2 linked regions of the Pelodiscus sinensis genome follow. The protein of the gene in region 1 interacts with the protein of each later gene in a pairwise test. Links are inferred from orthologs where the notes say so. Each region holds a gene or a part of one and is shown on either strand. Other genes may lie near its edges.

Evidence for each region.
Region 2: the proteins of TRIM2 (region 1) and volume-regulated anion channel subunit LRRC8E interact in binary tests that used the Homo sapiens proteins (3 or more experiments, as listed by UniProt). The two-hybrid records come from large-scale screens. The link is inferred for Pelodiscus sinensis from reciprocal best matches to the Homo sapiens genes TRIM2 and LRRC8E.

The regions. Positions count from the first base shown.
Region 1 is NC_134715.1:55,900,065-55,912,665, forward strand, and holds the start of TRIM2 (tripartite motif-containing protein 2), read left to right. Parts: upstream 1-7,943; 5' UTR 7,944-8,091; intron 8,092-10,484; 5' UTR 10,485-10,536; intron 10,537-12,601. UniProt on the Homo sapiens protein: UBE2D1-dependent E3 ubiquitin-protein ligase that mediates the ubiquitination of NEFL and of phosphorylated BCL2L11. Plays a neuroprotective function. May play a role in neuronal rapid ischemic tolerance.
Region 2 is NC_134729.1:9,964,191-9,976,300, reverse strand, and holds the start of volume-regulated anion channel subunit LRRC8E, read left to right. Parts: upstream 1-7,521; 5' UTR 7,522-7,707; coding exon 7,708-7,736; intron 7,737-8,375; exon of another isoform or gene 8,376-8,379; coding exon 8,380-8,518; intron 8,519-9,679; exon of another isoform or gene 9,680-9,863; intron 9,864-11,858; coding exon 11,859-12,110. UniProt on the Homo sapiens protein: Non-essential component of the volume-regulated anion channel (VRAC, also named VSOAC channel), an anion channel required to maintain a constant cell volume in response to extracellular or intracellular osmotic changes.

The sequences.
Region 1 (12,601 bases):
GACACTGTTTAGAAAAAGAGCTAATGTGTTTGCAAAGATGCCCTGCAATAAGTTGAAGAGGGAAACTGGGCTAGAGATTGTTTCAGGAATAGATGGATAACATTGTTCAAAGGTTTCAGCCCATATCCCTGAACAGATGAATGTGTCATATGGTGTCGCTAATACAGTTTTCATAACCATAATGGCATGGGAAAAGATATAAGAAACTGCTTACAATGATGCCCAGATTGGTGCATGTTTCCTTGGATAACCTTCAGGATTCTTCCTGTCTTAACATTATTGTAGGCTGTAGGATTGCCATCATGTTCTGCAGGCTGCATTAAACAAAATCCAGGTCTTTATGGCTTGATTGCATATTCTCAGAGTCTGTTAATTGACAGAATATAGTTCCAGATTCTGGACTGCCAAGAAGTGCTTGGACTCCTGGAGTGAGCAAATTCCTAGCCGGAAAGAATGAATGGCAAGTTGACAAGTGAAAATTGCGCGTGTGTGTGTGTGTGTGTGTGTGTGTGTGTGTGAACCTTGCCACAAATATAATTTTTTTTTCTTTGGCTTGTTCTACAGTTGGAATTAACTCTCTTCTCAGTCATGTCCTCAGCCAGATGGCCTGCTGTCCAGTCTGAACTAATCTCTAGCTGGAGTTACCTAGCATTGGACTTTCTGAGCTGTGTAAAGCAATTTACTGATGAAAAGTGTTATATAAGACCTAGATATTATTTTATCTCTTCTACAATGAATGAAAATGGCCATTGCTTTTACTTTTTGGGGCTACCTTATGATAGATCTTATGATAGTGGATGATCCAGTATAATGAAGGTTGGCTCCTCTACATCTTGTCTGGCTCCGCCTCTGATGTACTTCCAGTCCCCATCCCCAATATATTCCTCCTCCTCGTGCAGGGGAGAGCTAAGGGAGAGTGGGTCAGTACTCTACAAAGTCCCTCACCAAAGGCTGTTGAGATAAGTAAACTGTCATGGGATAGATGAAAGGTCCTCTCATGGATTGGTAATTGGTTAAAAGGAAACAAAAGGGTAAAAATAAATGGCCAGCTCTCAGAATGGAGAGATCTGTACTGGGATCAGTACTATACAAAATATTTGTAAATGATTTGGAGAAAGGAATAAACGGTGAGATGGCAAAATTTGCAGATGATACAAAACTACTCAAGATAGTTAAGTCCCAAGCAAACTGCAAAGAGTTACAAAGTGACAACTTAAAACTGGGTGATTGGACTACAAAATGGCAGATTAAATTCAGTGTTGATAAATGTGAGGTAATGCACGTTGGAAAACATCCCAGCTGTACATATAAAATGATGGGGTCTAAATTAGGTGTTACCACTGAAGAAATTGATCTTGGACTCACTGTGGATTGTTTTCTGAAAATATCCACTCAATGTGTAGCAGCAGTCAAAAAAGCAAACAGGATGTTGGGCATCCTTAGAAAAAGGATAAATAAGAAGACAGAAAATATCAATAAACCCATAGTATGTCCAAATCTTGAATACTTCTTGCAGATGTGATCACCTCATCTCAAAAAAGATATGTTGGCACTGGAAAAAGTTCAGAAAAGGGCAACAAAAATGATTAGGGGTATGGAATGGCTGCCATATGAAGAGAGATTAATAGAACTGGGACTTTTCATCTTGGAAGAGATGACTGGGGGGGGGGGGGCGATAGAGATCTATAAAATCATGACTGGTGTTGAGAAAGTAAATAAGGAAAATTATTTACTTATTCCCATGACACAAGAACTAGGGGTCATTACATGAAATTAATAGGCAGCACATTTAAACCAAACAAAAAGAAGTATTTCTTCACACATAGTCAGCCTGTGAAATTCTTTGCCAGGGGATATTGGGAATTCAAAAAAGCAGAATTCAAAAAAGAACTATATAAATTCACGTAGGATAGGTCCACTAGTGATTATTAACCAACTTGGACAGGAATGGTGTTCCTTGCTTCTGATCTGGGAATGGGTAACAGGGGATGGATCACTTGATGATTACTTGTTCTGCTCATTCCCTCTGAAGCACCTGGCATTGGACATTGTTGGAAGACAAGATACTGGGTTCAATGAACCTTTGGTCTGATCTTGTATGGCTGTTGTTATGTTCTAATCCCATAGATTACCATGCGGGTGAAGTAATATCTTTTAAAACAGTATGTTTCAAACCTGTTTTGGAAGTATCAACTGTAGAGGTGAATGGGTAATCCAACCTTCGTAACCGTTCTCTATGCAGACTGCAAACAGGGGTACTATGTTATGGGAGGGGATGTTTGTTATGGACACCTGTCCACTAGAAATTAAACTGAGCACACAAAGTCATTTCACAGAGGTCACTGAAAACCAGTTGTAGATTACCATTTTATGTCAATACCAACTTGGGCTGGATTTTTTAATGGCTATTATGGAAATTAAAGACTCCATAATCCCATTATGAAGATTCAAACTAACCTATCTTCCAAATACTTTGCTTATAATCTGATCAAATCCTCCCTCTTCATCATTGAGATAGACAAGGTAAACCCCTCTGAATTTGTTGAGAAGATGAAAGAGAAGTAAACAGTAAGGCTATGTCTACACTGGCGCGTTCTTGCGCGAGAACAACTGTTCTCGCGCAAAAACTTGCTGCCTGTCTACACTGCATGCGCGTTCTTGCGCAAGTAAATCTACAGTAGAGCATCTGAAATCAGGGCTTCTTGCGCAAGAGCTCTGGCGCTCCCTCTCAGGAAGAAGCCATCTTGCGCAAGTGTTCTTGTGCAAGAGGCCAGTGTAGACAGGCAGCCAAGAGTTTTTGCGCAAGAACCAGCCAAATGGAAAAAAACCAAGTGGCTACTTAGACACTCTGTACCCACCACAGCACCAGACTTCCTGGTTACCGGAGCCCCCTTAAAGTCACATGCAGCCTGCAGAGGCCATGTGGCAGCAGCACCTCTGCCACCCAGCTCTCCTGGGCGGCTCTGCCTTGATGCAGCAAAGGCCCCACCAGCATGTCTGCTCCAGGGAGGCACCAGCAACCTGCAGCCTTCTTCCAGCAGCCATCCCAGGGGTCTCAGGAGGCCCCGAGGGGCACCAAGAGGTGCACCCTGTCCTGGTCCCCAGCCGAAGTAGAGGCCTTGCTCAACCTGTAGGCCAATGAGGAAGCCCTCCATGACCCCCATGCCTGTTGGCAGAATGCTGACATTTTCTGCCGCATGGCCCAGGCGCTCTACCACCAGGGACATCCAGCCCGGACCCTTGAATAGGTCGGGCTAAGGTGAAGGAGCCGACACCTGCCCCCACTATGACCGGCTCCATGCCATCCTTGGGGAGATGGAAACTGAAGGCCCCTCGGTGCCTGTGGACACCAGCATGCGGCCCCCCGTCATCAGGCCAGTTGAGGCAGAGGAAGAGGCAGAGCTGCCCACCGGGTTGGAGGAGGAGGACGATGACCAGGGCAGCAGCGTCACAGTGCAGACTGAGATGGTGCCAAGCAGCCAGGATGTCTCCCGGGCTTCGTCGGAGGCCGGAGAAGGATTCTCTGGTGAGTGTTGTGCTTTTCACTCACAAGGGCCGGGGGAGCCAGGTGCCCAGGGGTGAGGGGGAGGGAGCGTCACTTAGGCAGTTCGAGCTGCACACTGTGTACCAGTATGCAGCACATGCAACCTCGTGCAGCCTGACTGTGCGGCATGTGGACGCGGCAGGCAGCTACAGGGCATGCCTGGGACTGTGCTGCTCACACACGCCTGGACTGGGGAGGCAGGGGGATGCCGGCTGGAAGCAGCCAAGGCCCCAAAGAGCTCAAGCCAGACCCCACACCTCCCGAAGGATGCCGCACACAGACAGTGCTGGGAAAACCGCAGCGAGCCAGCCCTGTGAGCACAGCCCCCACTGAGCCCCTCGCCTGTTCCTGGCCCCTAGGCTGGGCCCCAAGGGAAGTCCCTCCCCTAGCTAGAGGGGGAGAGGGGAAGTGATTGGCCTGGCCCTAGGGCCACTTGAGTTTTGCTGAAAGGACGGTACACTCCCCAGTCACCCCTGGCTCTGTCTCCGAGGACATCACTTGACAGGGGTCCGAGAGCCCAGACCTTGTCTCCCATCCATGCTCTCATGCAATGTGGGGATTTATCAAGCTCCTCTTCAAACTCTGTTGAATAGTCCTAAGCCTTCGCAGCCTCCTGGCAAGGAGTTCCACAGGTTAACACAAAACATGCCAAGGGGCCAGGACACAGACAAGGGGTTACAATCCATGGAGGATCACTTTACTCCAGGGGGGAGTCCTGTATGAAAACATACACACACGGGGGGAAGTGAGTGGGCCCAAGCCACAGTACTGTGTTGTCACCTGGGCTCAGGACGGAGGGCATGGGGCGCAGGGACAGTGTGGGCAGGTCTGCCTGACCGACCCACAATTTCCTCTGTTCCCTGTAGCTGGACCCTCCAGGAGCAAGGGACCCTCCAGCCCTGCGGCGGCAGCAGCACCCCCAACGATCTAGGTACCAGCCCAGAGGGTCAGGCAGTAGGACCAACTGCTCCTTCACCACGTACGGGCCATCGAGCGCATTGAGGCGGCCATCACTAGGAAGACTGACGCCGACCTGGAGTGACGCCAGCATGCATGGGGGCAGTTTTTGCACCGGTGTGACCGCATGTGTGATGCAATCACGACTCTGACATCGCACATCAGGCAAGCCATGCACTATGGCATGGCATTGCCTCATGCATCTGCCCTCCCTGCCATGCCCATGCCCCCTTCTCCGGCCTTCACTCCTGCTACCGCCCTGCCCCCACCTGCTGCACCCTGTCCTGCCCATCACTCCATGCTACCTGCCCCGATGCAGCCTGAAGGCCATCCAGGACTCCGCTCCCGCAGAGGCACTGGCAGGAGCCACCTCTTCCACCAGTAGCTTCCCCTCCCAGTTCAGAGCCCCCTCCCACTGCCCACCCTTCTCCCCCATTGTAAATAAAAATAAAAGTTTTATGGTTGTTTGAAAAAAAAACTGTTTTGTTTATTGGGAGGTGAGGGGAGTGGGGGAGGGAAGGGTTGGGGATGGGAGGAAGACGTAACTGGGAGACAGAAGCAACCCTACTGTGGGGCCTGGGAGAACATCTTCTTCAGGGCCTCCCGGATGCACACTCCATCATGGTGTGCCTGGCAGATGGCAGCTGTGCGAATGCCTGGCCCTCTGCTGCATCCACACCGGGAGGAAGACCTCCCTATTCTGCTCCACTATGTTGTGGAGCACACAACACGCAGCCACTACTTCTGGAAGGTTCTGCTCACCCATCTTAAGACAGGTGAGCAGACAACGAAAAGCAAACTCAGCTTGGTTGCAGGATCGGTTGAGGCGATCGTTGAAACATGCCCGGTCAGGGTCTGTCCATCCTGTGTACAGCCACATCAACCAGGGCATCGGGGGTAGGCCGCATCCCCCACAACACAAATTGGTATGGGCACATCCCCAATAGTAAAGTCTCACTGGGGGAAGAAAGTGCCCGTCTCCAGCCTGCGAAACAGGCCGGAGTTTCTTAAGATGTGGGCGTCATGTGCTCTGCCGGACCACCCCACATAAATGTCAGTGAAGCAGCCATGAGGGTCCACGAGGGCCTGGAGCATGACAGAGAAGTACCCCTTGCAATTTATGAACTGGGCCGCTTAATGTCCAGGGCACGGACAGGGATGTGGGTCGCATCCAGGGCTCCCCCGCAGTTGGGGAACCCCAGGGCAGCGAAGCCGGCCACTGTTGTGTCCACGTCCCGAAGGTGGATGACTCACTGAAGCAGGATGTCGTTGATGGCGTGGATGACCTGCAGAAGGGTGCACAGAAACACAGGGAATGCACCAAATGAGGCAGGGTGAGTGCATGATCCTTTGGGGGGGTGCCCACCCCCCTATGATGCCCTCTGTCCCCAAACACACCAGGGCCCTCTTGCCCCACAGGCCCCCCCCCCATACCAGCAGGCCTGTGTGAGGGAGGGATGGCACAAACCCCTGGGTGACAGGGAGTCCCCCACTCTCCCAGCCGTGAGTCTTCCCTTCCCCCGGCAGGGAGTGCAGCACCCACCCCAGGACTTACCTGCATCACAATGGAACCAATGGTGGACCTGCCCACCCCGAACTGGTGTGCCACCGAGTGGTAGATGTCCGGGGTGGCCAGCTTCCATATGGCAGTGGCGACCCTCTTGTTCACAGGGATTGCAGCCCACAGCCAGGTGGTGCGTCTCTGGAGTGCAGGGGCGAGCCAGGCACACAGCTCCAGGAACGTTTGCTTTTGCATCTGAAAGTTCTGGAGCCATTGCTAGTCGTCCCATTGCCCCAGGACCAGCTAGTCCCACAGTCGGTACTGGTGTCCAGTTTCTACACATGCCTCTCCACGGTGGGGTGGGGATGCTCCAGGGCCGCCAGAGCATCTGTGAGGAGAGAGTCCAGCTCGAGCTCTGTCTCAAGGTCCTGGAGGAGCAATGCAGCAGCATGGAGCAACTGCTGCAGGCACTCCAAGATGGCCACCCCGGCTCCATGGCACAGCAAGGTGAAAGCACAATGCAGAAAAGGCACTAGGGCTCAAAGCTGTGGTGTCCAACAAGGCAGAGGGCAACCACAACTGGAACTGCTATGGCTATCAGTCCCTACAAGAGGTCCTAAAGTTCACAGCAGGAGAGAAACGGTTGTCCAGGAGTTGGGTGTTAGTAATTAAATACACTGTTCATGCCTGATAATATTATTATTTGCAAATTGAACAAATCCCAGCACGTTGATAATTCAGTCTTGGGTGCTGTAATGAACGCTAAGGTAAACAGAAAAATAAATGTCCACTTTTCAGTACAAAAGGCTAAACAAGTTCAACATCCCTTGTTTAGTTCTATTTAGAAACAATTTTATTTGTATGTGATGCTATGATAGTGCTCCTAGAACTCTAATTTTATTCATGACAGTGTGTTTTTTTTGTAATGGTATTACTCTATTTCACACTCCCACCAAAACACACTTTGCTCCAATTTTATTATTAAGAATTTCAGTATAACTTCCATTTAAAAATTATAATCTAGGCCATATACATTTTGTGAGGTTGCCATGGTAACAGTTTCTCTGAGGGGAAAACTGGCTGTCTGTAGTTTCCACAGAAACCACTCCCTGCTGAGACAGGTGCCTTGAAAGGAAGGGGAGAGAATATAAATGAGACAAAAAGGACACACACACACACACACAGAGTGATGTCATGATCTCTGCAGCATCCTTACGCTGTAGGAAGTCAGTTATATACATTTTTTATTTTATAGTTTTTCATTACAAGGTCAGCTTCCCTGTTCTCCAGTCACGTAAACTCTGATTTGCCAATCCCTCACCTCCATGGAGCTGGGTTTGTGGCCAGTGATTTGGAAATGTTCCATGCCAGCAAAGAACTGAAACAGATTACGTCAGACATTAAGGTCCAGGGTTCTAAGAATCACTTTGCATGACAACATTTAAATGGTAAACAAGAGCTTTCATTCATTTTTTTTCTGAAAAATTCAACCCATTTCCTTTTAAAACGAAGAAGGGGAGGGGAGGAGTAATTCCTGATTAATTCTGGAGGATGTGGGTTTTGTTCTCTTTTGGGGGTGGATATGCCTTGTGCGGAAAATGTATGGTGAAAGATCAGGTAAATAGTAAAAGATGAATGATCTTTGATGTCAGCCTTTGCTATTTGAGGGAGTGGGGGGAAGCAATGTTTTTATTTTTAATGTCATAGTGAAAAACCATTGAATACCATTACCAAGAGCCTTTTTTTCAGACAAAATAGTGTTGATTTATTTTATTTCTTCAATAACATCATGGCATTTGTTCAAGGGTTAGTACAGCCATAACTAGAGATTAACCTGCTGGCTATTTCATTTTTGTCCTATCATCTCTCTGCCTCGTTATGGGGGAAACAGGCTGACATGGTTATTAAATCTGGCAGCTGAGTTGCATGCACGTAGGAAGCAAGCAGAGCAGAGCTTATAGAAAATGAGTAGCTTTCAGATAGCAGCCTTCTTTTCACTGCTACCGGGCTTGAAAAACAGTCTATAAAAAAGCTCTTTCTCTTCTTTTTTCTGGATCAGTGCACAAATATCGCAAACACAATTGCAAATGTAAGTATTCCTGGCTTGTGGCTGCTTTCAGATTGCTAATTAAGGTTTCTAACTTCAGTGTTCTGGTTGAAAAAGCAATGAGATGAAAGCCAAAAACATCCCCAGTGAGAATGTTTCTTTGCGGTATTGTAATGGCTTTTAGTGAAACAGCAAGAGAGAAGGGATCCTTGGTAGCTTAATGGAACAAACAAATTACAGTTGTGTTAGCTGATTTTTTTAGGATGTGTGTGCTGCTTTGTTTGTGAAGGGAAGAGCCAGAACCCTGACAGAAATGCTATTAGAGAGTTTTTGATACACAGGGAGAAAGATACCTCTGCATACAGAGACTATTTACAAGCACAGAAAGGAATTTCTCTTGGCATTTTTCATTTAGCATGCTTTTTTGTTTTGTTTTTTAAACAAAACATATACTTGGACTTCTGATTAAGAAATTTGACAGTAACTTATAGAAGAAAAACCAAATCTCCATCCTCAGACTGCTATTTACCTTACATCTAAAGTGATAAGGACAATGAAAATAACAGGGTGAGCTATAAATGTCACCAAATCTCTCATGCTGTGTAGTGGAAGATGAGCTTTGTTTGTTTTAGGGCATGAATACAGAATAACATGGTGGCTGGGAAGCTGTGGAGTTGCAGGTTTCTCAGTGCCGCAGACAGGAATTGTAAACAAGGACACAGTGTTGCTTGGTATGTTTTGTGCTTTCTATAACCTGATTATAGCATCAAAAATAACATTTTGGTTACAATCTCCTGTATAATGGAAGTATTTTTATAGTGTGGTTATTCCACTGCAGTGAATTTCAACGTACAGCTGGTGAACTCTTAATATGCTATGAATGAAATCTGCCTATTGAAAACAATCTTCAACCAGTAACGTGTACACATTTCAGATAATTGCATGAGAAATGCCTGCCATGGCTAGTTTGTTTGTGCTGTCATGACATGTTTGTTCCTTTGCACTGTTTGTTATTTAGTAGGGGCTGTTTACAGTACTGTAAACCCTTTATAACTCATGTAACAATTTAATTCCTACAGTTCTTTTAAACAGGTGACCAGCATAAAGTGATCATGAAGACTGTGTTAGTTTCATGTATCAATGTACTGCAAATAAAGGGCCAAACACATCCCTCATGCAACTCCAGCAATGTTAATGTAGTTACAACAGGGATGCATTTGGCTGTTTTGCTGATAATCAGTCATCACTGGTGCCTTAATTTCTGAAGATATAGATGTCTCTCTCCATTGCAGCTATTTCACCATTGGCTATATATGAAAATGATCACCTTTGATCACAATTGGTAGAGTTAGGTTCCCCTAGACAGAGTGGCAACAAGCCAACTTCTGAGATAAGTGGTGACCTCTGAGGACTAGGTCTATCACAAACTTATAAACAACATTAAAATATTAAAAGGGCAATGGGGGGTAGGGAAAGGTTGCCAGGTGGGGATGGGATGGAATTATTCAATAAATGTTGAAAGCCAAAAATAAATCTTGTGAATGGAGAGAAATTATCTATGACTTCACTGAATGTATTCTTCCAGGAGAATTTGGAACATGTCTTAAAAATCTTTGCAACATCTTTCTGTCTACTGTCATTCATTTGAAGGGGAAGAAGGGAAAAACAGCTTTATCTTTCAGTTGTGATTCACACTCTCCCAGATTTCATCCAAAATTTTTCATCCCTGCTCTGAACTGAGTGTGATGGAGCCTAAGCAAAATTCAGTGATGTGCAGACATGCAGTGAAATGTGCAAATGTGTGCACTGACTTTTTAGGCATATGCTCATTGAATGTTAAACAACCCCTGCAGTTCCTGGTGCTGCTACTCAGAGACAGAGCTTCACTTTCTATTATGTGCATTAGTGATGATAGACTTTTTAAAAAAAGCTCTGGAGGCGGAACATCCTTTTGTATGCCTATCTCTCTGCAGATATTTTTTGCCTGGATTTGGCTGACCTTAGGATAACCTATTATTTTAAGGTTTGCCTCCCCCTCACAGTACTGAAGGGGAGTACAGTTCACTCAGGACATTTGCTATTGCAGTAGTTACATTTACCCTGGAATTTTTGGTATTTTCCATTCTAAATGCAGGTAAAGGCCAAGATACAATAAATGGCAAGATATGAATGATGGTAAACCCATAACCATCTTCATTATGTACTGAGGTACTGCAGATGAATAGCCTCCTCTTCATACTTTCCTTGGTTTCCCCCTCCCTGGACCAGGGGCCTTGTCTCCCTCTGAGTTACTTTTCCCCACAAAGAAAATTATCTTTCCCATTTTCTTAGTGTCCTCAGGCCCTGATACTAGAACGAACTTTGTCCCCCCAAGCTGACTGAGAGACTTGGACCAGCAGACTTTAGTCTCCATGTTGGTTTTTCTCTCCCCTCAGCTTTTAAAGCAACTCTTCTTCTCCCTCCTGAATCCCAGCAAGAGGAAGCAAGGTAGGTCAGGAAAATTTTTCATATCTATTCTGCTGAATTTTGTAAACCTGTTTGTGCCCTGTGTTTTGTCCTACCATGAACATAATTGTGACTTGAGCTTCACTAGCATTTATACCAGAGACCTAATTAATTAAATAAAATTATGCTCAAGTCATCAGGAAACAGTGCCATATGACCACTCCCAACTAAACTGCACAACTTGAGTTTTGGATTCTGAATTTCAAATAGCAAACCATTGAGTAAACAAAATGTATCAAAACTATTCAGGGAATATTTCAATAGCAAATAAATTAGAGAAAATCAGTCTGTTTGTGGACATTCCATGAAGAGGAAAACTAACAAAAGCTCGTAATAAAATATTTATTAGTAATTCATACAGAATTAATTTTTATTATTAATTAAACTATACTGGGCTGCATTATTACCCCACTTCCTTCGATTCACCTAAACATTGATGTCAGACTGTCACTATGGGGTTAGTCCTACATTTAGTCACTGTGTTTGATTAGGGGACTGGATGTGATAATTTTGTTCTGTGTTTTATTATTATTTGTCTTATACTGCCCAGGAACCATGTTCATGAATGCGATGAGGCACACCCCAATTCCCAACAGAAACAGACTAACAAGCTCCTCTGGTCTCAACTGATATGACATAGGCATACTTGCAGAGCCTGCTCCATTTGGAGGAAGCGAGATTAAAAAAAGGAGTGTTTGTCACAGGAAGGGATGGTAGCCAGGAGGAAAGCAGCTGTGCCCGCAGGTCTGATACAAGGGATGTCATGGGAGTGTAGCATTACTCGGTGGTGGCGCCAGCAGATGTGTCTTCACCTCCCCAGAATGCTATTCTTGTTCACTGTGGTGTAGGCACTCCCTTTTGAGCACAAAAGGGAGCTACTTTCAGGCACTGGGGTTCTATCATTTCACCATCCGCAGGGCATTGGGATAGCCCCAGATATCTTTGACTTTGTGGAAGGTGGACTTATTCCTATGGTGCTAGATGCTGAGGATCCTGTTGTCATTGACTCAGGCATAGGATGGATGCTAGGTCAGAACTTCATCCTGGCTTGCCACCCTAACGCATTGCTCTCTAGTCTAGAATCTTCCCATGACTGAACAGGCAGCCTGACCCTGCACGATGTGAGAATATCATGTAGATGGGCTTTTCTTAGTATGTAATTAAAATAATACTAAAATGGCATAAATCTTTCTGTGACCTGATTCAAAGTAGTTCTGACCCACTGGTAATGTCTCCCTTATGGTGTTTAATATCCAACTGTTAATTTAAGGAAGTATATTTATCTAAATTGAATCACCTCACCAAAACATAAATGTTAATTATGAAAATGTTGTGGACCATTGATAATGATTGCTTTAAGCCCATTAGTATAGAACCATTAATGTAATGGAGCATATTCACCCACATTTAATCACATCACAAAAACATTCAAGTTAAATAGCCACGTATAACAGCTATAGCATAAAGTCTCAGAGGAGTTAGTTCATCATGGAGTAATTTCACTCATTCATTCATGCAGGCTCTGATCCTATATTGTGATCCATGTGTACAAGGTGTGCCTGTACAGGAGCAGACTGTTAGCATGGATATCAGTGCCTTAGTTAGCACAGTCTGATTATATTTTCGAACCTCTTTGCTCCCCTCCATTTCAGCTGTAGATTTCAGAAGTAGTGCTTGATGGAAAACAAGAATTCAGTTTTTATTATGCCCAGTTTTTGGCATTTGGTTTTGTTCTGCACTGGGACAAAACTGAGACCCTTAGAACTTTTTTCTAAAAAAAAACCTGAAGCAGCTGGGATGGCCAATGGCCCACTCTTCTAGGTACAGGTTTTTTGTTAGGGTATACACCTACCAGTCTATACAATAATATTAAATACTATAAGTGTAAGTGAATTTGAATGTCCTGACTTTTTTTTACTTTAAATTCTGAATTCTAATTTGCAGTTACATAGGTTTTTGGTTCAATAGTAGTTTATGTAAATAAGGTGGCATATACATAATCAACTGTCAGTATTGAGATCAGTAAAAATATATCCTGACAGTCACA
Region 2 (12,110 bases), on another chromosome or scaffold:
TCCACTATTTGATCTGAGGAAGTGGGTCTGGCCCACGAAAGCTCATCATCTAATAAACCATCTTGTTAGTCTTTAAAGTGCTACATTGTCCTGCATTTTGCTATTTCTTATACACTCTCTTTTCCCTAAACAAGAAAATTAGTAACAAACTAGCAGGCTCATACAAGTGTCATTCATATTTTCTCACGGAGCCCCTGGGCCTATTGCGCGGATTCTCAGGAGCACGCTTTGGGAAACTTGGGTAGTCACTTGAAACGATGGCATTTGTGGTAAAGAACCCCTAGTGCCACACAGGGGCACTGCAGCTGGCTCGGGTGGAGCTCCTTAGAGCCCTGTGCAGATACAAAACTGGCATCCGCATCTGCAATAATAATTTGCGGCCACAGTGGAACTGGTTCCTGCGGATATAAAGCAGATACCTGTGGATTTGCAGAGCTCTAGAGATCTTCCCCCTCAGAGCCTCTACCATGCTCCCTGCAGCACAGCGCCCCCTAGTGCCATAGAGGCTCTGGGGTGCTCTGTGCCCAGCTCCTCCGCAGCTCCCTGCATTTCCCCTCGGCTCTCCAACTCGCTGGCTTTCCTCTGTAGAGCTGGTCTCTGACACCACTTCTATCACTGTCCCCCGCAGAATGAGTGCACCGGCCCTTTAAATGTCCTTGCCAGCCCTGATGAGGGACTCGTGGGCACCTCAGGAAATGACTGTTTCCAGATAATTATGGGCCCGGCCTGCTGTGGCCGGGTGAGCTCACTCAGCCCTAGCTACAGGCGAGGATCCAGGCCAGGGGCCGGGCATGGAGAGGCTGGGGGGAGGGTAAGGGAGCTGGGGGTCAGGGTTCCTGGGTTGTGTCCCTTGCTCTGGGAGGCGAGTGGGGTCTCGGGGCTGGGCTGGATTCCCAGCTCTGGGCAGGGTGGGGTCCAATGGCTAAGTAGCTGCCACCTCAAGTGGATTTGATTGGCTGTCTCAGCAGGAGACGGAGCTCCTATCTGGTGTTTCCAGCACGCCGGCCTGGAGAAGCGGGTACTAGGCACCTGCTGAAGGTCGGCCTGATTTTGTGCCGGAGAGAGACATTCAGGGAAGGGCACCAAGGCCCCGCCTGTGACCCCCGGCAGCTGGGCATGGGCCTCCCAGCCTGGGCAGACAGACACGTGGCCGTGCTCAGGGCAGCGTGCCACACGTGGCGGTATGTATGTTACAGTATATGCTGCGGTGCAGGGCAGCTGCCTGAACATACACTCCAAGCTGCTGCATAGACGTACCCTCCGGAGGTCCCGACTCCCAGCACCCCAGCTCTAACCACTAGACTCACCAGTCTCTGCCCAGAGCTGGGAATAGAACCCAGGAGTCCTAAGGCCCAAGTACCCTGCTCTCGCTACCAGAGCCCACTTCTGTCGTGCAGGGCAAGGCAGGACATTGGGCCATATTTGGGGTGTGAGCCAGAACCCGTATCGACATGCTTGAATGCTGGTCCCTCTCAGCACCACGGCATCCTGCTGCTTAATAAACAAGTCCCTTCATTTACTGATTTTCTCCAAAAAATCCCCAGGGGCTGGGGAAAGCCAGTGACTGATTTCCACCTGAATTTTTGTATTTCAGGACCTGGCCATTTTTCACAGCAGGGGAAGCAAACAGGGCCATGCTGAAGGGCAGGGGGATCAGGAGGGGGCCGTGTTGAAGGGCAGGGGGATCAGGAGGGGGCCGTGCTGAAGGGCCAGGGGATCAGGAAGGGGCTGTGTTGAAGGGCAGGGGGATCAGGAGGGGGCCGTGCTGAAGGGCCAGGGGATCAGGAAGGGGCTGTGTTGAAGGGCAGGGGGATCAGGAGGGGGCTGTGCTGAAGGGCAGGGGGATCAGGAGGGGGCCGTGCTGAAGGGCAGGGGGATCAGGAGGGGGCTGTGCTGAAGGGCAGGGGGATCAGGAGGGGGCCGTGCTGAAGGGCAGGGGGATCAGGAGGGGGCTGGCTGGCAGGAGGCCAGAATGCACAGGGTGCAGCTTTCACTCCCCTTCTGACTCTGGCCCTGTTGTGCAGTCCCGTCCACGTCCTCTGTGCATCGGGGGAGATGAGGAGGGAACCAGGTCCCAGAACCCCCCTCACTCCACATGCCTTCTTGATACGGATGCTACGTAACAGTTGAGAATTCAGTTCCCAGATCCTGGCCCAGAGGGGCAGCAGGCTGAGCTTTTGGCCCCTCGTCACTTTCAATCCCTGGATTTCAGGTCCCAGCACAAGGCTGTGACGAGCAGGTAGCAAAGGGGGAGATTTTCCTTCTCAGACTCCTCTCTGCGGATTTATGTTCAAACATCCCTGTCAAATGAATCCCAGCTCCCAGGCCCCATCTGATTGTCTCCAGAGATGGGCTGTGCAGTGCAGCCCGGGGGTAGGATTTCACCCAGACAGTGAGAGCTTTGAGCCCGTTGCGGCCTCTGCCTGATGCAATGACCCACTTCACTGAGAACACAAACAGGAGCTTTGTAATTAGCCCCCTTTCTCCCATGACAAACCCGGCATTCAGCCCAGCTCCCAGAGCACTTTTCTAATCTACCTTGTGAACATTTTCAATGCAGTGATCAACTTCACAACTGTTCTTGTGCGGTGTTGCTGCGTGCTGTTAAATAGCTGCTGTGTTCCACCCCAGAGCTAGCTGCATTTCAGTGTGAGATGAGTGAGTCTTGTGCAGTGGTGCTTCTCACTGTTGAACACCTACCACGCTCCACCCTCAAGGTGGCTGCATTTCAGTGCTGAGTGAATGGTCCCTATATGGAGTTGCTGTGTGCTGTTAAACAGCAGCTGCTGCTACCCACCCCAGAAGTGGCTGCATTTCGTTTTCAGGGGGCAAAGTGCTCCTTATAAAGAGTTTGCAAAGTACCTTGTGTGACAGCAGCTGCAGAAATGTCAGATTGTTAGTGCAGATGTAGAAATCTTCTCTGGTCCATGAGCAACACCCATGGGCTGAATTCAAACCACAATTTCAGTGAGATTAAATAATCAAACCATTGTAATGTGCAATCGCCCTTTCTGTCACCTGAGGAGCTGGGAGTGCTGCTGCCCACACCTACAGCTGGGAATCTGAGACAAAGAGCAGAATGGGTGCTTCTGAGGGCACCCCGTGAGAGAGATACAGGAGTCCTGCTCTCCCCACTAGTCCCCACTCCCGAGGCCAGAATCTAGCAGTCGTGACCCCCAGCTCTACTTCTGCTCTCCTCGCTAGTCCCCACTCCCCTGACATCGCTGAGGCCAGAACCCAGCAGACCTGATCCCCAGCCCTACCTCTGCTCTCCCCACTAGTCCTCACTCCCCTGACATCGCTGTGGCCAAAACCCAGCAGGTCCTGACCCCCAGCCCTACCTCTGCTCTCCCCACTAGTCCTCACTCCCCTGACATCGCTGTGGCCAAAACCCAGCAGGTCCTGACCCCCAGCCCCACTCCTGCTCTCCCCACGAGTCCCCACTCCCCTGGGGCCAGACCCCGCGGGGAGGGGGGTGCAGCACGCCGCTCTCCCTGCCTGGCTGCTCTGTGTGCCAGTCGCTGCAGCTCTGTGGCTGGTGCCGGCGGAGGCTCCGCGTGTTTGCTCTGCCCCGGGTCTCCTCCCTCCCCAGACCCAGCCCAGTGCAGGGCGGAGGGGCTGGGCGGGAGCTCGCCAGACCGGTGAGTCACCGCGGCCCCGGGGGTGTCAGGGAGCAGCGTCGAGGAGCCTGTCACCGCGCACGGGGCGGGGGGCGCGGCGGGGTTACCCTGAGCGCGCCCCGTCGAGCCCAGGGGAGGCAACCGGGACCAGCTGGGCAGGGGGACCGGAGAGCTGGTGAGTTACAGGGGCAAAGCGGGGGCGTGGTCAGAAATCCTCCCCCACCCCCCGGCGGAGCGAGAATCCGGTTTCCACTCACCCAGAAAGGGCGGAGGAAACGGGGGATTCGGATTTCGCGTTCCCGCAGAGGAGGGAGTCCGGATTTACTCCCCAGCAAGAGCGACGGGGGGGGCAACAGGCGAACTTTAGTGGGATCTGGATTGGCCCTTGTGGAAATGGGGCAGTTGGGGTTTGCCCCCAGGAAAGGGGGGGAGTGGATCTGGTTTTGCCCCAGGAAGGGGGGGAAGGCAATTTGTCCCTAGGAGAAAGGGGACAATTTTTAGGGGAGAGGGATTCTCTGGGAGGTAGAGGGGATAAGATAGTGCTTGTTTGCCTCTTCTCAGAGAGAGTTTTTGGGGTGCAGATTTCCCCCTGGGGCTGTGGGAGGGAAACACATCCTGCTTTGGGGGGCCTTGTTTGGTGGGACCCCCTTCAGTTCCCCTTACCTCCCCCCGCCCAAATGGAGCAGGCCCCAGCCACCTCTGGAAGCCTGTGTGAAGAAGTGGGGGTTGAGCTCAGAGGCTGGGTGGCTGGAGGTGTCTGGGGACTACAAGTGCTAGATGTTGCCTGAGCATGACTGGAGGACACCTAGCAATGTGGGGATGGATAGGGGATGCCTGTGAGCGTGGCATGACTGGGGGTGTCCAGAAATGGGGGGGCATAGAGAGGGGGAGGGGTTGCCTGAGGGCTGGGCATGGCAGGAGCATGGGGTTGGGGAGGGCTTGCTTGGAGCTGGGGGTTAGTCTGTGTGCCTGGGAGGATGAGGGACTCGGGCCAGGCGGAGGAAGAGGAAGAGGAAGAGGAAGAAAGGGGGGACTCTCTTCTGGGTCAGGCTGGGAGTGGGGGCCAAGGGGCTGGGCACTCAGAGCATCTGAGAATGCTGGGCCAGTCCAGGGATTTGCTGATCACCCCTGCTGCAGGTGAGGGTGAGGGGAGGCTCCACGTGGGGGTAGGCATCAGGTGTCCTAGGCAGCCAGGCACCTGGCCACTCCAGAGTGAAGCTCTTGGCTCCTGCATGCCTGGAGTAGCTTGAGCAGCTGGGCCTCCATTCTGGATCGAGGTTCCCCCAGACCACACTTCCCCATGCCAGAGGATCTGTCCCCCCCCCCCACCCTTCTGCCTGGGAGAGCAGGCATTCGGGATGCCAGCTGGGGGCACGGTGGGGCAGCAGAGCAGAGATGTAGGGGGGGAGGTATTAATGAGGCTACCAACCTCTGGAGGTGGTGGCTGTGCTCCAGGGAGGGCAGGAGCCCCCTTTCAGTTTCCTGTTGTCTCCCCAAATTCATGGTCTTCTGCCCATTGATTCCTTTTGGGATGGTCTGAAAGATGCTCTAAGGGCTGCAGTGAGAGTGAGGTGGGGGCTGGATGGGTCCTGATCCCTGCAGGGCCTCACAGATGCGAACAGGCCCCCAGCACTGCATCCCAGGGGCTGGAGGAGGGATCCTACATTCCCAGCTGCCCATGCTGGACAAGGACTCCAGGGCTGCCCCAGTTTGTCTCCTCTTTCCCCACTGTGATCCCTGAAGTATCCAGTTGATTGTAAGCACCATGGATGGTGGGGGAGTCCAGCTGTTAGTTCTGGGTGTTGTTTCCTAGTCACACCCTGTCGAGCCAAACATGCATCTGAGATGTAATGATACTGGGGGGGACACAGAGGTGGGAGGGATAGATGGGGATACTTCCCACTGCTGGATTGGATCCTGTGTGTCAAAAGCCCTCTATTGCTAATGGTGAGTCTCCTCTAAACTCAAGTTTCACAGACTGGTACCGTCAGAGCAGGAGGAGCTGGGATCTGTCCCGGCTTTGCAGCATGATCACTCCCCCTGCCCTGCCCCCACACAAAGCCCTCAGTGGCAGTGGGGCTGTGTCAATACTCAGCTCTTCACCTTTGCCCAAAGCCACACATTGGCTCAGTGGAGCCAAGACTAGGAGCCCCGGGGGTTCCTGGCTGTACACGTGGGTGCAAGTCCCTTGGGCCACCTGCCAGCCCTACACACTCCTCACTCCATTTACAGCTCCGCATGGGGAGTGTGGACTAGCAGTCAGAGCAGAGTTTCTTCCACTATTACTTTGGGCTTCCCTGGAGAGTTCCAACCCTGCTTTTAAAAATTCTCTCTGCTCTGAATTCTCCAGATTGCCCCAAACTGCCGGCGGCTTTCTCTGCCCCCCCCATCTCCTCTGGTGCCCAGCACAGTCAATGGAAATATTTACTCCGCTGTGCAGGCACACATACAAACCACAAGGAAGCAGCTGCCGGGACAACATCCCTTGTGGAAGAGCCGGCTTGCCTCACTCTCCCCCCTGAGCAAAGGGAAAGGCATTTCCTTTGGGGAGCCCATCTAGCACCCGACGGGGTGGAGGGGAAAAACCGAGGCAGAGCCAGGAGCTTTCCCGCTGGTTGTCAGTCTCAGCTGTATCCCCATCCCTTAGTCAGTGCAATGAAAAAGGTCACGCTCTGCCTCCCACCACCAGTGGCAGCAGTAGGCAAAGGTGGTTAAGTTTCGCCAGCCCTGCAAGGAGCAGTAAAGGGTTTGGGGGAATTGAGGCACAAGGGAGGGAAGGGAATTGCCTAAGATCACACAGTGTCAATGGCAAAGTCTGAGACCCAGGAGTCCTGACTCTTAGCTCCTCTGCTGTAACCACTAGACACCTCCCCGCCCCCCTTCCAGTGCCAGGGATAGAAGTCAGGAGTCCTGACTCCTAGCTCCACTGCTCTAACCATTAGACACCACTACCACCCAAATATGGAGACAAAATCCAAGAGTTTTGATGGAAAAACCAAAGACTGAACAGGCCGCCAAGACTGCTTTCAAGGAGGGCACCCCAGGGGAGGGGTGGTGCACATTGGCAGGGGATCGGGGTGGGTACGTGGGCTCACAGAGCCATCTTCTGGACTTAGCCTCTCTGGAGGGAGGGCAGAAAGCATCTCCCCATGGGGACAATTAGATACATTTTCACAAGGGCTAGCTGGTTCACAATCGTTTGCCCCATTGAGCAAACCCTGGCTCTGTCCCCACTCCAGAGAAATGTGAGTGGCAGACTCCAGATCTGCAGACCTGGTTGCTGTGCAGCAGAGGTGGGATAAGGGGGGTGCAGGACGGACTTGGGAGAGTACAGGGCCAAGGAGATGGAGGGGGCTGTTAAACTTCCCATTTCTGGGAATGGAGTGGGGTCTAGTGTGTCAGAGCAGGGGGGACCACGGACCAGGACTCCTGGCTTCTATTCCCATCTTGAAAGGGAAATGGGATCTAGTGGTTAGAGCGGGAACCAGGAACCACAACTCCTGGGTTCTAGTCCCAGCTATGGGAGGGGTGGGGTCTAGTGGTCAGAACACAGGGGTCTGGGAGCCGGGAGCCTGGGTTCTATTCACACTCGGAGGGGAGCAGGCTCTAGGAATTAAAGCAGGTGGGTCTGAGCCAGGCTTTTATCCCCAGCTCAGGGTGGAGGGAAGAGTGGGATCCAGCGGGTTAGGGGCAGAGGCTGGAAATGAGGGTTCCTGGGATCCATCCCTGCTGCACAACACAAAGACTGAGGCTGGATCCCCCCCGCCCCCAGGCTGGGTAAAGGCGAGCCTAGGGAGCAGAGTCCTGTCTGCTTCCTGTCACCCTCAGCCAGCATCACCCCCTCTCTGTTGCCTGGAGGCCACAGGGCGTTGCTATGGTGCTTGGAACCCCCTGCTCCCAGGTGGCGGGTTCCAGGGCCCGGGCTGGCAGGGCCCACCCAGCGCTGGTTAAACCCCACGCGGTGCCCGGTGCCTGGGTTGCTCTCAAGCCACGGAGCAGGACTCTGCAGCTGGCTGGATCAGCTTTCAGCAGCCCTTTGAAAGCGGATCCAGTGTCTCCCCCTGGCTCCCCCTCCCCGCTCATATCGATGTCCTGGATCGAGCTTCCTATGACTCCGTGAGTAGCCCTGTCCCGTGGCTGGGCAGGCGGGGAAAGGAGACTGGGTGAGACTGAGGTGGGGAGGAAGTGGTGTGGGTGACCCGCAGGGGGTACCAGAGGGGGCTTAGTAGGGGGCACCCTCACCGTGCAGTCTGTGCAGGCCCCAAAGCTGCACTGCAGCATGTGACCTGTGTCTGTCGGACTAGCCACACTCCCCAGCCCTGCTGTCCTGCCCCCTTTCCAACAGGAGTAATTCCCTTCTGCCTTCCTACATCCTGCCCTGAAACTTCCCCTGTCAGAGCAGGGCTCTCCTGTCTCAGGCTCTTGAGGGGCTATTAGCCAGCGGCTGTGACCCACCCCAGAAGTGGCTGCATGTCAGGGCAAGGCAAGCAATGTACTCGGGGATGGCTGGTGTTGTGGAGGTGAAAGAGATTCAGGACAGGACAATTTTCTCTCTCAGGCTGGGCTCCTGCCAGGGACCAGCTCCCTCTCCTGGTCCCGCAGCCTGAAGACCTTTGCTCCCCAATGGCCCTCTTCCACTCAATTGCCTGTTTTCATGCAGCAGGGCCTGTGTGCTTGGGCGCCCGAGCTCCTGCTGACCGACCGAGGACCCAGCAAGCTCGCAGGCCTGAGCCTAACCCCTCCCTCTCTCTGCAGACAGGATGATCCCTGTAGCTGAATTCAAGCAGTTCACGGACCAGCAGCCAGCCTTCAAGGTGCTCAAGCCCTGGTGGGATGTGCTGGCCGAGTACATCACGGTGGCCATGCTCATGATTGGGGTTTTCGGCTGCACCCTGCAGGTGGGTACCGGGCGTGGGGGGGGTAAGCCATGACCACCCTCTGTGAAAGCCCTCCCATGCAGCAGCAGGGACAGGACCTGGGACCTCTGTGGCCCCCTCCCTCTGGAGCTGAAGGGGAATCACCAGCAGCAGCAGCAGTAGAAGGTTCTATCCTCAGCGGACAGTAGCAGGTGCTGTGCTCATGGCAGGTGTCAGCAGTGCCCCTAAGAGCAGGGAGCAAACCCCGAACTCTGGAGAAGGCAGCTGGCGGGGAAGAGCCCCGGTAGCCGGTCACCCTCCTGCCTGTCAAATGGAGTCCCAGCATGCCCTCTGCCCTGACGGGAGGCAACTGGAAGACGTCTCCCCTGGGGAACTGGGCAATTTGGATCTGAACCCCCCGGAGTTGGGAGGGGGTGGGGTTTGGCTTTGGACCACCAGGCGGGCGAATGCAACCTTCCTGCTGGGAGAGGAGAGGGTAGGCCCAGGGCTCGAGGGAAAGGGAGAAGGGCAAGGGCCCTCAGTACAGCCCCTAAGAAGGGGTAATCCCCCCCCACTCCGCAAGCAGGAGGGATCGGCCTCCCCTGGAGCATGTAGAGTATCTGGGCAGGTGCTGCCTCCCTCTGCCCTGCTGCAGGGGATCCGTGCCCAGGCAGGGAGCTCGCCCCAGCACGTCTGGGGTGTGGCTGGATGTTGGGTTGCCCTGCAGGAGGGGATGCAGGTGGGATTGAAGGCTGTGGCTGAACCACAGGAAGGAAACGGGCCACTGGGCTCATCCAAGTGGGGGAAAACAGCTGAGAACAGGAGTCCTGACCCCCAGAACCCCTCCCCCATACTCCCCTGCTAGAGTTGGGAACAAAACCCAAGCATCTGACTTCTACCCCCGCCCCCAGCTGTACCCACTAGATTCCACCCTTGAATGCTAGTGGCTAGTGGATGGGCCGGCACGCTTTGCATTCTGGGGTGGAACAGGGGACACGGGAGAAGGACCCCTCCATCCTTGTCTCCCGCTTGAGCTACCCCGACTCCCCCTGCCCTGTTTTAGGTTGGTCTGTCATCAGGGTGGAGGTCGCCCCCAGATGAGGGTCCCTCTGACCTTGAGGGGAGGAATCTGTCCATAGAGAAGCCCAACACCACGTGCACACGGCAGCAGCCCCGTTACAGCGTCTCCTCTCATGGCAACAGGGAGAACATCCGTGTCAGCAAGTCCCACAGGCAAAGCCCCAGGGCCACGTGTGGGGAGGAGGACGGGAGCAAGATCAGCTCCCCTGTAGTCCCCCTTGAGTTAACCATTTCACCGCCTGCCAGCCAATGAGGTGCCAGGAGATGGCAGGATCTGCCAGGGAAGTACAGAGAACCCCCCGCTTAGGTGAGAGAGTGGTTAAAGCAGGGGGCTGGGGGTTGGGACTTCTGGGTTCTTTCCCTGGCTCTGGGAGATGAGTGAGGTCTAGGCATGGGGAGGGCAGAGAGCTGGGGGTGGGACTCCTGGGTTTCACTCTCAGTTCTGGCTCTGACTTTCGGGATGACCTCAGGCAAGTTCCCTGCACGCACACACTCAGACCCTGCTGACACAGGGACCCTCAGCACAGCACTCTTCTGCTTGAGCTGAAGGAGCAGCTCCATCAGTGGGCAGCAGTAGTAGGTTGGTCATTCACAGGTGGGGAATGCCACTCATACTGCATAGGTGGGTTTGGCTTGTTCAGAGCCAGGGGCTGAATGTCACGTTTCTGAAAGAGGAAGATGCGTGGCCCTGGGGTTGCAGTAACCAGTTGATTTATTTTGTGTATCACCAGGCCAGCCAAGGCTCTGCAGAACGAAGGGCATTAATACTGTATAGCAGCCTGGCCAGTTCCTCTCTGCTTCCTGCCCCCCGCGCTCCCCCAGCTCTCGTAACTAACAACATCACAGCGGGGACTGTTCCCTTCAGAGTCAGGACTCCTGGGTTGCGATTAGCGATGGCTTGGCCTTGCATGAGCCGTGGATCACACGGGCTCCCATGGGGCTGGCATGCGCCGTGTGCAGTGCATGTGTTTGCATGCTAAGCTCGTGGGAGGTGCCCGCCGCTCTAGCTGGAGGAAAAGGCTGGCGTGAACTAGCGGCTCTTTGTCTTTTGTTAGTCCCATTTCTCTCCGCATCACAAGGGGCTTTAGAGACTTGCTGCCACCCTGGGGTTGGTCGGGCACAGAGAGGAGGGAAGCAGCCTAAGGCCAAACAGAGAGGTAGGGATAGAGTGGGGGATAGGATCCACTAGATCCCACGCTCCTCCTGGAGCTGGGGACAGAACCTAACTCCAAGCACGTGTGCTCTAACCACTAGACATACTTCCTTGCTACCAGCTGTGCTTCTTGGACTCTGTCTCCTTTGTCCTAGGGCCAAAGTGGGTCTTGGCCACTCAGGCCTTTGGCCTTCTTGCCCTTGCCCATTGATGCTTCAGAGTGCAGCCCACTGAAACTACAACTCCCAGCAGCCCGTGTGTTGTGGACCCCCCCCCACCACAGCTCTGAAGATGTGCTGGCTGGGCTGCAGCCTACTCCGGCAGCAGAGGCAGGGGGCAGGGGTCAGCCTTGGCTTCAGTCTCATGGTAATTCTTCTGCACTACTCTGCATGGAATAGACCTCACCTGGAGTAGTGTGTCCCGTTCTGGGCCCCACATTTCAGGAATGATGTGGACAAATTGCAGGAAATCCAGAGAAGAGCAACAAAAATGATTACAGGAAACATGGCCCACGAGGCAAGATTGAAAAAAAACCTGGGTTGGTTTAATCTGGAAAAGAGAAGTCTGAGAAGGGGACCTGATCACTCTTTTCAAGAACATGAAAGCTTGTTACAAGGAGGCGGGAGAAGAAGCAATGGGCTTAAATGCAGCAAGGGAGGGTTAGACTGGACATTAGGAAGAATTTGCTAACTGTCAGAGTTGTTAAGCACTGGAATAAATTGCCCGGGGAGGTTGTGGAATCGCCATCATTGGAGATTTTTAAGAGCAGGTTAGACAAGCAAGCACCTGTCAGGGAAGGTCTAGGTAATACTTAGTCCTGGCGTGAGTGCAGGGGACTTGACTCGGTGACCTCGGTCCCTGCCAGGCCTAGGATTCTGTGATATTGCATTGGTGCTGTGTGTGTAAGCTGCCCCTGGGCTGGGCACAGCTTCAGTGCCCGATACCACTATTGCCCTGACACATGCATGAATGCAGCCTGCAGTCGGTGCTCAGGGCAGAACCACGCATGGACCGTTGCATGACGCCTGGGGCCAGACCCCCACTGTGTGTCAGTGGGCCATTGCTCCGTTGGGGTCACATCCCCACCTGGTGTGAATCCGGATCCCCCATGGTTTCCTAACCTGCCTCCCTCTGTGGCTCTATCCCCAGGTGACACAGGATAAGATCATCTGCCTCCCCAACCACGTCCCCGCCAGCGCCTCGCACTCTGTCGACACGTGCCAAAATTTTGCCAGGAAGAGCCTCAACGCCTCGGAGCCAGACACAGCCCATCCAGCCCGAGAGATGAGTGGCCTGCGCAACAACCTGGACATCCAGCAGTACAGCTTCATCAACCAGATGTGCTACGAGACAGCCCTGCACTGGTACGCCAAGTACTTCCCCTACCTGGTGGTCATCCAC